Linked DNA regions of Schizosaccharomyces pombe. The protein of the gene in region 4 binds, or shares a complex with, the protein of the main gene of each other region. Each region holds a gene or a part of one and is shown on either strand. Other genes may lie near its edges.

What was found.
Region 1: mrpl25 (region 4) and SPOM_SPCC777.17C share a complex: the UniProt entries of both Schizosaccharomyces pombe proteins name them as parts of the mitochondrial large ribosomal subunit.
Region 2: mrpl25 (region 4) and mrpl31 share a complex: the UniProt entries of both Schizosaccharomyces pombe proteins name them as parts of the mitochondrial large ribosomal subunit.
Region 3: mrpl25 (region 4) and mrpl7 share a complex: the UniProt entries of both Schizosaccharomyces pombe proteins name them as parts of the mitochondrial large ribosomal subunit.

The regions. Positions count from the first base shown.
Region 1 is NC_003421.2:1,616,691-1,620,615, forward strand, and holds SPOM_SPCC777.17C (mitochondrial ribosomal protein subunit L9), read right to left. Parts: upstream 2,369-3,925; coding exon 2,279-2,368; exon of another isoform or gene 2,230-2,278; coding exon 2,154-2,229; exon of another isoform or gene 2,024-2,153; coding exon 1,884-2,023; 3' UTR 1,456-1,883; downstream 1-1,455. Other genes in the region: protein Gta3, read left to right, coding at 1-359; SPOM_SPCC777.12C (ER stress response thioredoxin family membrane disulfide oxidoreductase), read right to left, coding at 520-957, 1,078-1,356; retromer complex subunit Vps35, read left to right, coding at 2,866-3,925. UniProt on the Schizosaccharomyces pombe protein: Component of the mitochondrial ribosome (mitoribosome), a dedicated translation machinery responsible for the synthesis of mitochondrial genome-encoded proteins, including at least some of the essential transmembrane subunits of the mitochondrial respiratory chain.
Region 2 is NC_003421.2:885,965-890,124, reverse strand, and holds mrpl31 (mitochondrial 54S ribosomal protein mL60), read right to left. Parts: upstream 1,540-4,160; 5' UTR 1,268-1,539; coding exon 920-1,267; 3' UTR 830-919; downstream 1-829. Other genes in the region: ubiquitin hydrolase Ubp1, read left to right, coding at 1-688; oca8 (cytochrome b5), read left to right, coding at 1,738-1,885, 2,392-2,483, 2,570-2,719; TIM23 translocase complex subunit Tim23, read left to right, coding at 3,392-4,024. UniProt on the Schizosaccharomyces pombe protein: Component of the mitochondrial ribosome (mitoribosome), a dedicated translation machinery responsible for the synthesis of mitochondrial genome-encoded proteins, including at least some of the essential transmembrane subunits of the mitochondrial respiratory chain.
Region 3 is NC_003423.3:1,736,229-1,741,139, forward strand, and holds mrpl7 (mitochondrial 54S ribosomal protein uL5m), read left to right. Parts: upstream 1-2,413; 5' UTR 2,414-2,749; coding exon 2,750-3,613; 3' UTR 3,614-3,869; downstream 3,870-4,911. Other genes in the region: ebs1 (EST1 family protein), read left to right, coding at 1-801; MAP kinase kinase kinase Byr2, read right to left, coding at 4,089-4,911. UniProt on the Schizosaccharomyces pombe protein: Component of the mitochondrial ribosome (mitoribosome), a dedicated translation machinery responsible for the synthesis of mitochondrial genome-encoded proteins, including at least some of the essential transmembrane subunits of the mitochondrial respiratory chain.
Region 4 is NC_003424.3:4,992,551-4,996,574, forward strand, and holds mrpl25 (mitochondrial 54S ribosomal protein mL59), read right to left. Parts: upstream 1,958-4,024; 5' UTR 1,895-1,957; coding exon 1,496-1,894; intron 1,385-1,495; coding exon 1,346-1,384; 3' UTR 1,074-1,345; downstream 1-1,073. Other genes in the region: lipin, phosphatidate phosphatase Ned1, read left to right, coding at 1-784; meiotic recombination protein Rec24, read right to left, coding at 3,480-4,024. UniProt on the Schizosaccharomyces pombe protein: Component of the mitochondrial ribosome (mitoribosome), a dedicated translation machinery responsible for the synthesis of mitochondrial genome-encoded proteins, including at least some of the essential transmembrane subunits of the mitochondrial respiratory chain.

The DNA.
Region 1 (3,925 bases), on a different chromosome or scaffold from region 4:
CACTTAAACGAATTCTCCAAGGAAATCCACCCAAACCAATTGGCTTAACTGAGTATGGTCATTTGCTGAGGCTCGTTGGTCTTCGTGAAGCAGACTCTAAGGAAGAGAATGAAAGAACAATTCTAAAACTCAACGAAGGAATCATTCAAATGCATGCAATTGAGAGACTTGATACATCCTTCATTAAGGAACCATTTCGTACTTTGAATCATGCTATTAATGCGGAATCTCTACCATCATTACCCGATCAAGAGCCGTGGAATGTATTTCAGAATGCTAAGAAAAGAGACGGGCAGTACTTTGCCGTTTATTCTAAGCTAAAAGATGATTCCTCTAATGAATCTCCAAACAAGCAATAAGGTTGGAAAATCTACGTTCTGTTAAAAAAGGAAGGAATGAAACAAATAGGGTATAAACCTTTACTAGAGCGGTGCCTTACATATAGAACATGTAACAAACTCTCGTATAATTATTCAAAAAATTGATATTATCAAAAACTAATAGTATTTTCCACATAGCTTATTTCTTTTTTGCAGCGGCGGCGGCAGCAGCAGCGGCTTGTTTTTGTTTCGCTTTTTTGCTAGAGCGATACATTATGTAGGCAGAGATCCCAAAAATAGCTACATTCATTCCAAGAGGGGTGTATTTTTGACTTAAGTGTCCGTAAAGTGCAAGTGCCTTTCCAAAGACCCAGTAAAAGGACTTCAAGGGCCCGTTAACAGAGAAAAAACCTTGCTCTTTTTTCATACTTTTGAACCCGTCTTTTTCATATAAGGCGATTGCCTTGTTCTTGGGAAGAACCTGAGGAGAAACACGGTAGAAATTTTGATTATCGATGAAATAATAAGAAGGAATCCGAGAAATGAGTAAGCGTACAGAAAGTTCGAGGCTACTGCTCAAGTAAACACGGGCAAAGTGGACATCCGGATATTTTTCATGAAAAGCATGCGAAAGGTCCTAAAATTAGTTAGTACAGATTCAATTAAATCCAAAGATGGTTTAATTTATTTCCGAGGCTCAAAATTCAATCTCATAACAAGAGCATTTGGACAACATTAAATGCAGTCCATTACTTACGTTAAAAAGTAGCTCTCCAAGAGTACAGTTAGCACAGCCTTCAGCAGTCAACTGCACAAACCATTTGCCAGATTCAATGACATGATCCCAGGTTTTATCTGAAAGTTCGACAACGGTGGAATTGTCAAAAGCGCAAACTGGGTCTGTGTTGTATTTTTCATACGGTACCTGTAAGACATTCATAGCTTCAATGGCAGCTGATTCATCTCCTTCACAACTATAAGCTGCCACGAAATGCAGAAGTTCAAATAGAAACACAAAAAACAAATTAATTTTCATTGAAGCTGAATAAGGTAATGAAAAATATTTTCTCTGCTGCTTTAGCAATAATAAACACGAGTTATGAGATGATTTTGGATCCAACTCAAAATAGTTGGTAGCTGTGAGAAGAAGATGCTAGACGAGCTGATAGAGCAGAAACGATGGCCGCACAATACGCAGTAAACGTTTACCATTCAAGGATTTAAATTTCATATTAACTATACTATTATAGGAAAATCCAAAGCTTGTTATTGTAATTGAGAAACACTAAGCATCAACCCTGATAAAATATTACAATAACGATAATATTCAAACTCAGAAAGAGACTACGCTTCTAGTGAAGCCTTTTAATTAAATTTTTTATATTTTTTTATAGAAAAAAGTCAATGCTGAATACTTCGTAATTCTTGTTAGTAATGTAACAATATCTCGTAATGAAAAGCTAGAATTGTTCAAATTGCAGCTAGCTAAGCCTTAATTAATCCACTAATAAACTCAATAAATTCTTTTTATGTTGATTGAACTAAGTGAGAGTTTAGGTATTATTATTCCTTCGTTTTCGTCGAGAATTCGGACCCTTGTAACAAATGTGCTTTCATAGATTTTAAGGCATCAACAGCAATCGCTTGCTTCTTGGGGAAAAGTGTATTTCGATAATATCCCCTTGTCACTGAGACGACATCACCTTTTGTAAAGTTAGTAGTTTCCTACGACGGCTAAAAGAATGCATTTCTTATAATAAAAGGATGTAACCACTACCTCCCTATTATAGGTTTGAAATGAAGAACATTATAATTATGAAAAATTTAGCATACCTTGCCTTCCTAGCTTTGAAACTTCGTTGTTTAACAGTTTTACCAAAAACGGTTTTGGCTGTTTACGAAGAAACCTCTAAATAACTGTGTAAGTAACGGTGATTTTTTTTATAAGCTTGACATACCAGTTGCCCATAAATTCTTTGAAAAGGTGAGACTGCTAGTTCAAGGGAATTGAAGCGAAAAAATCGAGTTGTCGGTTTCATAATACTCATTTCAATTAAATGGGTGCACCAAGAAATCCGTCAAGAAAGTTTTTACAAAATAAAAAGAAAAGCAGCTTAAATAAATTCTCAATTGAATGTAGAATTCAAAAACCGTTAGTTTAGAGGTCTAAGACGAATCTTGTAGTGTGAACCTTTCCGATGATTAGATTTATAGTTTCTTTTAATTGTTATCAAAATAATATACTATTTAGGCGCGATATTTGTGATATGAAAATGGTCAATTTGAAATTGAGCGAAGCGCGATTCCAAGCTGTGCTGCGCGCAATACTTCAAGATCTACCAATATATCTCAACCAGTACCACCAACTTTATTTGTAGACATTTCAACGAACCCATTATAAAAAACATTGCTAATATTAGTGAATTAAAAAGAATAACAAACATCCTGTTTTTCTGTTCGAAAGTTGGGCCGCTAGTAAAACTATACTGAAATTACAATTACGTTGGTTAAATTGAAACACTTGGAAGTGGATATTTAGGGCTCTATGAACGGAATTAATACTGCTAACGAAGAAATTACAAGGAGCTTGGAAGAGTCCTTAAATATTTGCAAGCAGTCTAGTAGGCTGATGCAAAGAAACTTGCAGACAGGACGATTGATGGATGCATTTCGTAATTGCAGTATTAGTCTCGTGGAAATGAGAAATTCTGCACTTACTCCAAAACAATACTATGAGCTGTATATGTTTAATATGGAAAGCTTGCGTTTACTTGGGGGCACATTGCTGGAAACGCATCTGAACGGTACTCACAACCTAATGGACCTTTATGAACTTGTTCAATATGCCGGTAGTATTGTCCCTCGTTTATATCTCATGATAACCGTTGGAAGCGCTTATTTGGAAACGCCTAATGCCCTTGTACGTGAAATTATGAATGATTTGTTAGATATGTGTAGAGGTGTTCAGCATCCGTTAAGAGGTCTTTTTTTGCGCCATTATCTGCTTACCCAAACAAGAAAAGGATTACCTTTGGGATCAGAAGATGAGGAAGATGCATCTCGCAAAGGAACCGTACTCGATTCTGTTAAATTTTTAGTTATCAACTTTACGGAAATGAATAAATTGTGGGTTAGAATCCAACATCTTGGTCCAATTAAAGAATTTTCCAAACGTACCCAAGAAAGGAATGAGCTAAAGGTTCTTGTTGGGCTGAATTTGGTTCGATTATCTCAGTTAAACCTCGATATAGACACTTACCGAGATCATGTCCTTCCTGCCATAATCGAGCAAATTATTGAATGTCGGGACTCACTTGCACAAGAGTATCTTGTTGAAGTAATTTGTCAGGCGTTTTCTGATAATATGCATCTTCAAACCCTCGATACATATTTCGGTACGGTCATAAAGCTTTCTCCAAGCGTAAACGTAACCCAACTTGTGGTCGCTATGTTGAATCGCCTTACGGACTATGTCCAACGTGAATATGAATCTGATTCTTCTAATGAAGATGAATCTGAGACTGTAACCGAAAAATTAGGAGACATAAAAATTAATGAGGAAGTACAGCAAAAAGACGAGCAAGAATGCCCTGGAGATAAAGTAA
Region 2 (4,160 bases), on a different chromosome or scaffold from region 4:
TGGACTGAAGCGGATGGAAAGTAAGGCCGGGAAATGGGAATGCATAAAGGAAATTGAGGTTAAAAGGTTTGAAATAGTGGAGGAAGAGGAAATCGTTATTGACGACAAAACTGTAATTATGTGTCTATGGAACGATCAACAATATGAAAAGTTATTTTATAACTGCGAATGGATATTTGAAAAAATTCAGTTCCATATGGAGTCCATCACCCTTGAAGATTGTTTACTGGAGTTTTCCAAGCCAGAGCAGCTTGATTTACAGGATTCCTGGTATTGTCCTGGGTGTAAGGCATTTCGACCGGCAACAAAACGGCTGGAGATCTGGCGATTGCCAAAAATACTAGTCATTCATTTAAATCGATTCAGCGGCCACGGTGGAGATTTGCGGAGAAGACGTAAACGAAGGGATTTAGTAGTTTATCCAGTATTTGATCTCAATTTGAAGCAATTTTTGAGTCCATTTATAAAAGATCATGAGTGGCTATCGTCACAGAAATCGATGCTTTACGATTTGTATGCAGTGGACAATCATCACGGGTTTATGAGTAATGGTCATTATACTGCCTATGCAAGAGATGCATCGAGCCAAACATTCTTTAAGTTTGATGATACAGCTATTTGTGAAATAGATCCGGAGGATATTGTCACATCGTCTGCTTATGTATTGTTTTACAGAGCAAAGAATTAAAGAGACGTATAATAGAGGTGATATGAACTTTACTCTAACTAAAGGCTAATGTCGTTTGTTTGAATATGTATGAAACTGGAAATTGAATATGAACGAAGACGAGGAAGAGGTGGGAGTTTTTGCAATAAAAAAGTAATAAAATAAGCTATTAAAATAATCCATTACATTTATTATTCATAGAGCATTAAAATTATGAAAAAAAAAGTAGTAAACTTTTGCAACCAGACGTTTTTAAAAGCCAGTGGGATTAACACGATTAGTACTACGGGTCCATTTTGGTGATTTATGGACACCCTTGCGGAAGCCTTGGAGACCGGCACCTTGAGTCTTCCTGGTAAACATAGTGTATTTATCCTTTGGTGACATTTGGGATTCAGGCTGATGGTTAGCAACGAAACTTTCAATTCGTTTGCACGATTGATTTTTCTCTTGCAACGCCGTGCGCAAAACATCTACCACCTCATCGACGGCACGAAGTCGTTGACGGTGACGATATTTTCTTCGCTGGGATAATCTCCAAGGTACTTTATGAACAAGACCGCCAAAGCGAGCCAAAGTCGAGTTAAATGCACCCAGCATATTTTTCGTATAAAATCAAAAGGAGAGGAAGAAGGTTGGATCAAAAAGAGCAAATAAAAATTTTTTGTTAAGTTTTTGGGTGATAGACAAATTCTGAGTAGTTGATGGTTTGTCACAAAGTAGTTTACGGCTCCAACGAAACAGCAAAGATGTGAACAAAAATTAACTTGATTAGCGTCCTAAATTGATTTAAATATTATATTGCCATTCAAATATAAACACTACACCTCCAAAATGGTGGAGTTGGTTAACTGAAGAATGATATAGGTTTTGGGTAAGTTCATATCCTTGGGTGTACCTTCCAACTCGAATCCACGTGACCACCTGCCAGTAAGAATCGGCTCATTTCTACTTCCCACCTGCTAGATAAATCGCGATAGGGCATTTGCAACCAACATCTCGAGAGTAATTAGCTCCTGGGTTATAACCGTTAAATACCACCTTTAAGGAAGAATAAGCAGAACTTGATCATGGCAGAGAAGACAATTACTGTTGAAGAAGTGTTAAAACATAACACTCGTGATGATTTGTACATTGTTGTAAAAGACAAGGTGTATGATATTTCCAAGTTCCTTGACGCTCACCCTGGTGGTGAAGAGGTTCTTGTTGATTTGGCCGGTAAGTAAATTTTTAGGGGTACGCGATAATGGAGGTCTTGAGGAAGATTGGTTGTAATGCATAAAAATTGGTCGCGATTGTGTGGAGTCGTAGAAATCGAAGTTTCAGACAACTAGCGTTACAAAACTTTGAATTTCACGAGAGTTTAGGTGTCGCATATACACATGTTCTTTAATTTGAAAGATTCAGGACGAATCTTTGCCGTAGGAACGTACAAAAATAGATGCGATATCCTGAATAAATACGATGTTTAATGCGACATTGTCATTGAAGGTGAATTGTTAAGTACAGTCTATATGTTCCAAGATTGATCGCTCTCTACTCGATGTTTTGTATTTCCAGTACTCTGAATACACTGAAATACATAATTTTGGAAAGATTGATTGACGATATCGCTTCGATTCTTCACATACGGCTTTTGGATTGGCTATACAAAGTTTCTGCCTTTCTCTACCATCGCTAGGGGCTTTTTTTTGTTCGTTTCTGTGATTATTAACTTGTTTTAGGTCGTGATGCTAGCGGTCCTTTCGAGGATGTTGGTCACTCTGAGGATGCTCAGGAGTTGCTCGAAAAATTTTACATTGGAAACTTGCTCAGAGTATGTCATTTATTTTTTCTCTTCGTTCGCCATAGGCTCGTTAAAATTTTTGTAAAAATTTGCTTCGACACTCTAACATATTTTAGACTGAAGATGGCCCTCAGCTTCCCACAACTGGTGCTGCCGCTGGTGGAAGTGGATATGATTCTTCTCAACCAGTTAAGCCTGCTATGTGGCTCTTTGTCCTTGTGATGGTTGTTGCTTACTTTGCTTTTCGCAAGTATGTCCTCAAATAGACTGCTTAAATTCCCAGTCTTACTTTTGCGCTCAAAGAAATTTAAAGGCCTTCTTTCGTTTTGGGTCGTTTAAATGTGCTGAATATGGTTTTGTGATTTTGAGCTAGCAAGTTTCGTTTTTTGTTGTTGTTAGATATCTACTTTAGCTTTCTTTACCTGTTCGTACTTAGGATATTTACGGATTCAATGTATTCCTTTAACACGCTTTGGTTTGGCTCTTAATGTGAATGGCATATTAATATTAATAGAGACCTTTGATTTGTCTGGACGTAAATTTAATTCACAACGGTCTTATGCTTGCTTTGCGTAACTGTATAATTGATAATACTTAGTGTTATATTTTTTGTATTTTCGTTGTTTGTTCTCTCATAAAAAAAAGTTTTATAGTTTCTTCTATTCTATTGTTTTATCGATGGACCTATGCCCAACTTGTCTAGAATTTTAAGCGGTGATCGAGTAAATAAGTTCGGGCGTTATTTAACGATCGAGGATTTATTCATTAAGTCTTTTTTTTTATATATAAATGTAAATTCATGATAATTGCGACACTTTTTACGTCTCAACAATTTTTTTCTACTATTTTAATTTAGGTGCTAATACACAGTTCCTGTAACCACCGCTACCTGCAGACAACCACCATCGCGCCTTTGCGAAAAATCAACTTTTTAAGATATGTCTTGGTTGTTTACAAGAAATAAAGAAGAGGAACCAACCTCAAAGATTGATTCTTCTGAATTGCAGGTCCCTACCGAGGCTACAGCCTCAGATATTTTATCGGGTTCTGAATTCGATCCCGCCAAGTTACATCCCCTCGCTGATTTAGATAAACCTCTGGATTACTTATTGATTGAGGAAGATGCTCTTTCTACTCTTCCAGGCGATAGCATGGCTATCCCATCTCGCGGATGGCAAGATGATCTTTGTTACGGTACTGGAACTTCTTATTTAAGTGGATTGGCGATTGGTGGACTCTGGGGTCTCAATGAAGGCATGAAGAAAACTAAAGATATTACTTCCACACGGTTGCGCCTTAATGGTATTTTGAACGGTGTTACACGACGTGGTCCTTTCGTTGGTAATTCCTTGGGTGTGCTTGCCCTCGTGTATAATGGAATCAATTCTTTAATAGGCTACAAGCGCCAAAAGCATGGATGGGAAAATAGTGTTGCAGCTGGTGCATTGACAGGTGCTCTTTACAAATCTACTCGTGGACTTCGTGCTATGGCTATTAGTAGTTCGCTTGTAGCCACTGCAGCTGGCATTTGGACCCTTGCAAAGCGTTCTTTCACTAAGCGACTTAATTAAAAAATTCTTTTGTAACTTTTGGTTATAAAATTTGTACGATAATGTGAGTTAGGTGTTCCTTTTATGACACTCATTTTCTCTCACTCTTGTGCGGACCCTTTTTTCCCTAATTTGTAAATCCGACAATGGATTTATG
Region 3 (4,911 bases), on a different chromosome or scaffold from region 4:
GTTCTTGTACGCTGTTCTTCTAAAAGTATCGGCCTGCTATTCTTTTTCCCTCTTGTTAAGGTTTGTGGAGTTCCTCGTGATACTTTACAGTGGCTTTACTTTTCAAATCATTATCCTTTTAATGAGGAAGGTAAAGGTCCCCAAGTTGATGATTCTGACGCACTGATAACAATTGCGTTAGATTCTTTGTATGTGTTACTGAATATGCGAGCGAAAAGTACACCAAATAGCACATCTTTTTCTTCGCCTCCAACACCCCACAGATCTCCATTTAGCGGACAGGCTTTTACTGGAATGGGATTATCGAATTATTCACTAATGTCCTCATCTTCTTTTCCATCTGCTCAATCTTCTCCTACATCTCCTTTTTTATCTGGAACACCATCCATAGCTAATCAGTCATCTAGTATTGCAAGTCTGCAATTTGGGAGGATGGTGGATAGCCTCGTTGGACCTGTTCAACCTATACCTGCTCAAACTACCGGGTGCTCTGTTCATTCATTACAACAACGCACGTTTTCAAATGAGAGTCCTAGAGCTGTCGATTCTGGTTTTAGTAGGACTAGCACACCATTTAGTGAAAGTACTAGTTCTTATCCTTTAGTGTCTGGGAATCTCAGTTCTTGTGAGACACACTTGAACGGATCTCCGCAAAACGGACATTTACAAGGTGAACGTGTTTTATTCCGCCCATTGAGAAGCCCTGCTTTAAACACATTTTCTACGCCTGCTACGGAACCTCCGGAACATTTGGTTTTGTCTGAGCTATTAAAGAAAATGGTTAACATCAGCAATAATTAAACTGTATTGTTGATTGTAATGTTTCATTAAAAATTCTGAAGTTTGTTAGAAGCAGTCAATTAACTTTGCTGCCAACAACGAACAAATTTCTTGCTTTATTTCTCACGAAGTGAAATAACCCAAAATAATGTATCACGGATTTCTTTGTTTATACACTGTGCTTACGAATTAGAAATGGTTCTTCACTTGCCTAAAGAAAGGCTTTGACTTTTATATAAGTATGAATAGTCATCAAATGGCCTAAAGTGTACGGGTATTCACGACACTTAAATTAAAATATGGTCGATGGGAAAATAAAACGTTGTTTAGTTATCATAGCGCTGTTCTGGTTTGACCTAAACACAAGCAATTAAGGCGCTTCCCAATGTTACAATATATATCATAGAATGGGTTAATTGTTTACATAGGACTGCGTTGAATTCTTTAAATAGAATCTTTAGCCTCGAATTATGAAGTTATCTGACTTGTTGGATATCCTCAGCTTGCCAATTGATTGATAATAAGCATATGAGCTTGGACAGTGAATATTCAATATTTGGTTACTCAGTGCAATTTGTTTTGTGATTCTAAGCAGAAATGCTCTTTATAAACATTTACTGCACTATCTTGAGTTTCTAGAGCTTGTTCTGTATCCAAATTGTAATGACTGGCGATTCTCAAGTGCCAGATCTTATACCTCTTTTTATGTCTTTACCAGACGTTATCGTAATGCCTGGACACAAAACTAAAGTGTAAATTTGTCTTTCCTATGAAATGCTTGGTTTTTCATTAAAGTGTTACGAATTCGAAACATATATCTATGATTTTTGAGTATACACTGGCGGTATCTGTTGTTTAAGATAATTTAGTTTTGAGTTATTCGAGGCAATCAATTTCTTATCAAGTGTGATTCTCTTTTTAGAAAACCAAACTAAAAGTAAATCTATTGATCTTTTCAAGTATTAAGACAACTTGTTTTCTTTTGGATAAAATGCTTTTATTGTTGCATAATAGATTGATAAAGGTACGAAATGTATAAATGCATTATTTTATGTTGAGTACTTTACTCTTTCAGGATTGTGTTTGAGCTAAGCTTCTTGCATCTCTCATTCATCATCACACATCTATATTGAAAGGAAAGAAGGTAAAAAACGAACAAGAACAAAGTGAATACAAAAGAACGAATTGGATTAGTATTGTTATTGCATGAAAGTGATCTTATGACATGCATCACTATCCTATCCAAATAGTTTGTAGAGCCAGTTAGTAATAATACTTTCCAATAATTTGAATATGTGTGGCATGCCATTTGGCACGATTTTGAGAAATACAAAAATAAAATCATCTTGTAAAAGAAGAGCAATTAGCTGCTTTTTTATGTACCAGCTGAAGGAAAAACATTTGTTTTTCGACGTATAAAAAAAAACAGAAAGACATCAGCTTAAAGCTTTAAAGCTAACTTGTTTAAATAAGTTTGTAAGTTACAAGTACAATACTTTCTATTACACTTGGCACTCAAAATCGTGTGGCATATGATTATAACGATGCCTCGGATTTCCTTACTTGGCACTAGGTAATACGGTACACTAACCATGACAATACACTAGACAAACGCGAGCAATCTTCCAGCCCTAGTACCTAAGATCCATTGCAAAATTGTTTTGGTTGCGAGACTTACCTGTTTTATCCATAACCATTTGTTAAAACCTTCCTTTGAAGATTTGAGAAACAGGTATCATTTGTGGACATTGGTCTTTACAATTTCCTTGTTTCGTGATTATAAATATTTTTTCCCGGATTTGTGTTATTTACTATAATTTATTGGTAAATTATAACACAAGTGCTCATCTGCTTATAAAGCAAAAGGATTTTCACGAAAATTCCCTAGAAAGTAACCTGTTGTATTTTTGTCGCTTTTGGTTTCTCTTTGTCATTATACTTGTTTTAATTCATTTTTTAATTTTTAACAATGCTTGGGATAAGAAAAAATATCAGAATATCAGTTAACTTTCTGCAGCGAAGAACCATCACTGTAAAGCAAAAACTGGGCAAGAATAGGCCCCTACCAGGATGGGATCCAAATTCTGAGTATTTTCGTCCAGGACCCACCATGTTAAATCGCTTACAAGAACACTTGCATGATACCATTTTACCGGATGTATTAGCTGCTTCATATCGACATGACATAGATACAGCGTTAAGCACAGATGAACATACACAGAAAGACAGACTTCCAAGGTGGATTGGTGATAACCCTTATTATAAAAACCGGCCTCCTCAGAAAATGCGTGGTAATAAGCCTCTGTTACCAGTAAAGGAGTCCGTTAATCCTAAAAACCTTCCTTCTATTAGCAAAGTTGTCGTCAGCACTATGCATAAAGAAGCACTCGTTGACAAAACGCAGCTCTTGAGTACAATGATGGCATTTCGTTCTATAACGGGTTTGCAGCCCGAAATAGTCTATGCACGTAAGGACGTTTCTCCCTGGAAACTTCGTTCAGGTGTGCCAGTAGGTGTAAAGGTTACTCTAACTGGAGAATCTATGTATACATTTCTTTCAATCTTATCTGAGTTGGTTCTTCCTCAGCTTCATGATTTCAAGGGCCTGAGTCCTACAAGCGGAGATCAAACAGGAAACATATCTTTTGGTTTACCAAGTGAAGTCATGCCTTTATTTCCCCAAATTGAAGCTGTTTATGAGATGTATCCGCACTCTTTACCTGGATTTAACGTAAATATAACAACCAATTCCAAAGATACCCGTTTGGCTCGTTTTTTCGTCAGCAGTCTTATTCCATTTACAGATGGAAATAAGGAAGGCTATGTTGGATAGTAGACAATTTATTTTATATCTACTATACCTAATCTTTTCTCCTCAAGGAGTGAACAAAAAATCCCCTTCTCTACGACTAATGCATACATACGTTTTTGAGTTTTACTTGTTTAAGTGATAGAATTCCCGTAGATATGTGTTATTATATATTTATGTTATCGTTTTCACAAAGTAAATAAAAATAAAAAGTTTTTTCTTGAAAAGGAATAATCAATGGATATTTTTTAAACAAACTGAACATGTAAAATAGTATTTTTTTAGTAACTAAACTCATAATGGTATTTATCAAGGACATTCACAAAATCATTAAAAACATGAATATTGTAGAAAAATATAGCAACTTAAATCATACGGTTTATAGGTTAAATAAATTCATTAGTTCTAAATGGCATAAATGCAATGATAATGATGCAAAAAAACATAAAAAAGATAGATCGTAAAATAATGTTTCTGTTTTCATCATAACTTAGCCGGCTTATGAAACGAACGGGTGGCTCAACAACTCTGATGCTGTAGGTCTAAGATTACAATCTATGGCAAACGTTTTCTCAAGGAAATCTATGGCCGATGAAGAAATGTTAGAAGGGAATTCCGGCAGAATGTTCTCCCCAATTCTGAAAATGGCCTGCATTTGATCACAATTCGGATAAGGGTGCTTACTAGTGAGCATCTCGATTACCAAACATCCCAAAGACCAAATATCTGTTTTCTCCGTATGCATAGTTTGCTTCACCACTTCGGGAGCCATCCAAAAAGAAGAGCCTTGAAAAGAAGGGCGAGCACCACCCGTCTTCGTAGAGGTACTATTTAGTTCAAGTTTCTTCGATATCCCAAAGTCCGAAATTTTAATCTTCCCTTTATTATCAACCAAGATGTTCGCACCTTTTATATCACGGTGTACAATGCCGCGTGAATGAAGGTATTCTAAGCCTTTAAGGGTTTGCTTAATAAAGTTCTTGACTAGCGTTTCCTCAAAGCTTCCATACATTGTAAGCAATCCGGCAACCGACCCCCCAGGAACATATTCCAAAAAAATGTTCAAGTGGTCCGAATTTAAGTTAGAACCGAGATATTGGACAATATGCTCATGAGACAACTCCTGTAGAAGAGCAATTTCACCCGCTAATGCATCTAAAAGTTTGGCATGGCGGTCTTTTGATTCAGAAACAGAATCTAAGATCACTTGCTTAACAGCCATCAACTCACCACTAGATGCATTCATACCGAGATAAACTTGTCCAAACGATCCTGAACCTATTAACGCACCACGTATCCATTTGATAGACTGATCATCAGTG
Region 4 (4,024 bases):
TATGTTTACCTTGATCGGCAAGGATTGGACTCATGCTGGAGTTGCCAAATTGTATACCGATATCACTAACAACGGCTACAAAATTATGTATTTAACTAGTCGTTCGGTAGGCCAAGCCGATTCTACTCGACATTATCTCCGGAATATTGAACAGAACGGATACTCTCTACCCGATGGTCCTGTTATTTTATCACCTGATCGCACTATGGCTGCTCTTCATAGAGAAGTAATTTTAAGGAAGCCAGAAGTATTTAAAATGGCTTGTTTGCGTGATCTTTGTAATATTTTCGCCTTACCTGTTCCTCGAACACCATTTTACGCCGGCTTTGGCAATCGTATTACAGACGCAATATCTTATAACCATGTCAGAGTTCCACCAACTAGGATTTTTACCATTAATTCTGCTGGCGAAGTCCATATTGAACTGTTGCAGCGAAGCGGTCACCGAAGTAGTTATGTTTACATGAATGAGCTTGTCGATCATTTCTTCCCTCCCATCGAGGTTAGCACCCGAGATGAAGTCTCAAGCTTTACTGATGTGAATTTTTGGAGATCTCCTTTGCTTGAACTTAGCGATGAAGAAGAAGACGATACTAATAAAAGCACATCCAAGTCGCCCAAAACACCCAAAAATACGAAATTCGGATATCAAGAATTCGAGGGGATTGACGAGGAAGATGCTCAAGATTATTCTCCTAGTCCATTGATTAAGTCTTTCAATGAATTAATGTTTGAAGGTGAAGAAGATGAAGAAGGAGAAGAAGACGTTGAAAATGCTGTTTGAAGTTGCATTTTCCCAATTTCCGATGAAAAAAAAATTACTCGACTGTCCATCTTTTTTTTTAATGCCCCAAAATCTTAAAATCACTTTGACGAATTTCCGTCGGCTTTGAAATGCACTAATAAGCTTAGAAAGTTACATAAATCATATAATGACTTACTTACTCATTCACAAGTAATGAGTTTTGAGAAAGTGCTAAATATTTTTTTTATATTTAAATGCGCTCTTCCTAAAAATTAAAGATAACAAGATACTTCATAATGAAAAGTTACGAATAAATCACATTCTAAAATCCTAAGTCTGCAGATTCAAAACCTAATATTTAAATGTAATTTAACTATTAAAGTAGAATCATATTATTAGTAAAGATTACAAAAATGTATAGACTAGTATATTAGTCTTTTTATCATGCTGCACAATAAAAGACTTTTAGTAAACACATAATTGAGGTAATATAGCAGTAAATTTAAATGAATCTTTAAAAAAATTTAAGGAAGTCATAAACAAACAGGAATCAAAAGGTATTAACAGTATTACGTGAAACCCACTTTGCAGAAGAAGAATTTAGAAAGGAGAAGGTTTCGCTATTTTGCTAGCTTTTTGCTAAAAAGAGTGTTAATAAAGACAATTAAAAAAATAATAATAGTAAATTTTTCACAATCAAAATCAGTAGATAGAAATAAGAAAATCATGAAAGTACAACAGTTTACATACGCGCTCATTTTTAAATTTAGAAGTTTTCTTCAATGATTCCGAAAGTTTTAAACGCCTATTTTCCAAAATCTCATCCCTCTTTCGTTCACTAATTTTTCCTTTAGGATTCAGAAGACCTTTCAAAATATGGCGTGTAGAATCTTTCTGCCATGACATTTGTTGGGGGAGTAAATTATCCAGATTCTGAAGCCTGGCCTCTTTATATATTTCAGCTTGCCTTCTATTGGAATAGTAAGGGTTGATTACAAGGCCATTCTGAGGATTTCGAGTTGCGAGAAACGGATTTTGACGATTTGGATTTGTCGTCCATGCATTTGGATTTTCAGGCGGAAACTTTTTAAAAAAGTTTCCTAATTGGATAGGAAGCCGTTCCAAAGCTTCCTTGGTAAAGACTGGCATGATAAGGTTAAAACCTCTTTAATCTATAGAGAAGCTCAAAAAGACAGTGAGTCAAGCACTATTAGTATTAGAAAATACATTGACCTAAGATGTCGGCAAACGTTTAACTGCGCTATATTACGTTAAATCAATCATTACTGTTCATTCTTGAGTTCTTAATCGAAACTTTTCATCGTTTGAAATATTAAAAGAGTTTATTATCTCAGACAATTCTAAGCCAATTTATTGACTATTAGCGTTTATTAGGTCGGACTAATTCTTAGTTACTCAATTTAGTTCCAATGGATATACTAATTAATATAATATTACGGTGTAGCAGTACTATAGTTAATAAATACAAAATTATCCAGGGTATTATTTTATACAAATATAAAAATCACTAACATATTTCGTTATTATGTATATCGTTGTTAAATTAGCAACTATACAAACTCCTTAAAATATTTTACATACTGCGTAGATGGCTTCCTCTCGCATTAGTCCCTCTACCTTAGGCATCTTTGTTGGGTTGCGTTATTTAATTATTGAAGGCTGACAGTATGTGTGATTGTGTTCCGCCAACGTAGCATTCAAACGCTTTCAATCATTATCGTTTTTAGTTGTGATTGCTTCTATGATTCCATCAAATGAGGCCCGTTCAAGTAAGCTGTGTGTGGTTATAGAGTTTCTGATGCCAGTAAAATTATCATATCAGATCATGTACGGATTCCTACTGACACATGTTGAGAGTAAGCAAAAAAAGCTCAATCATGCTTATTTTGAGTATTTTAAAACATAAATAAAAGTAAAAATTATTGTAGGAAAAGTCCGGTCATCTCTCGATGACTCCAATTAGTGGAGAATATAAGAAATACTAAAGGAATTATTTATAATGACATGTAACGCAGTGTGACATAAAGTTAGTAGTGCATAGAACTGTTGGTGATATCAAGTTGACAAGGAATCGATAAGACGCTCTTTAATGTTGAATATTAATAAGCCCTGTAAGTATCCCTGTTCTTCTAGTTAGGTCTATAGCTGAAAAACCTTCAATTCTCTGGAGCTTGTGTGGTTTTATCCATTATCACTTCCTTCGATTTATCCCTCGTAAGGAATAGGATAGCAATGCGTATAGATCAAATCGCGGATTATGAATGAAGGCTTGTGCGATAAATTTCCTTTACTTGATCAATAATCTTGTTGTCAACGCGTTGTATTAAATGCGCTTTATTGGAAAAGAAGAAACATAGCTTGTTGATTGAAATTCCAAAGTTTCTTGTAAACGAATTTGGAAAGCACTTCTGTACTTGAAAATAATACAAATTGGCCACTATATATTCGCTTTTTTTGTTCCTTTGTTTCTTTTATCCATCAATTTTTAAAAGCAGAAAACCTTTCCCTTATGCCCAAGATTTAAAAGGGAACATAATATCAAAGTTCATCGAATGGATATGATGATCAACACTTTCACCACAACGTTCTTTGTACATTGAATTTCCAGAAAAATTCCACCAAATGTTGTGAATATTTTAGGATAACAAAAGGAGTCAAATTGGAAAGGCAAGAAATGAATGTGTGTTAAATAGTGGCCCTCAATATATTACTATTAGGAAATGTCTTCGGGAAATAGCATATCTTTGAGGCCAATCAAAAGGATGGATGGAGCAGAGTAGGCACTCTTAGACAACTCTTGTTTATCAGTTTGTAATTCTTCATTTGTGATTATGTCTCTTAAGATTTGGACACATTTGCTTGCGGCAGATGAAAGCTGAGCATCGAAGGAGTGTAGACAAGGGAAGTATATCTCAGCGTACGAAAAAAAACATTCACTATATAACAACCGGATAGATGGGTTATCGTTTTTGCAATATGTGAAGCATATTTTCATCCGTTTAACAATTTGATCTAGTAATTTTTCCAATTGCTCTACGGAAGCGAATGAGAGCTTGTTAAATATCAGTTGCTCCAAAAATACGTAAAATTCCAAAAATTTCGCTCTGGAAATCACTCCAGTTCCATTGTTGGCATTGTTTTGCATAATCGACTGCGTGATTATAATGAGATCCAGTACATAATCTCCCAATTCAACTAGTCTTGTTAAAACCAACGGCGACTTACAATCTCTTTTAAGAAACATAAAAATTTCTTCGA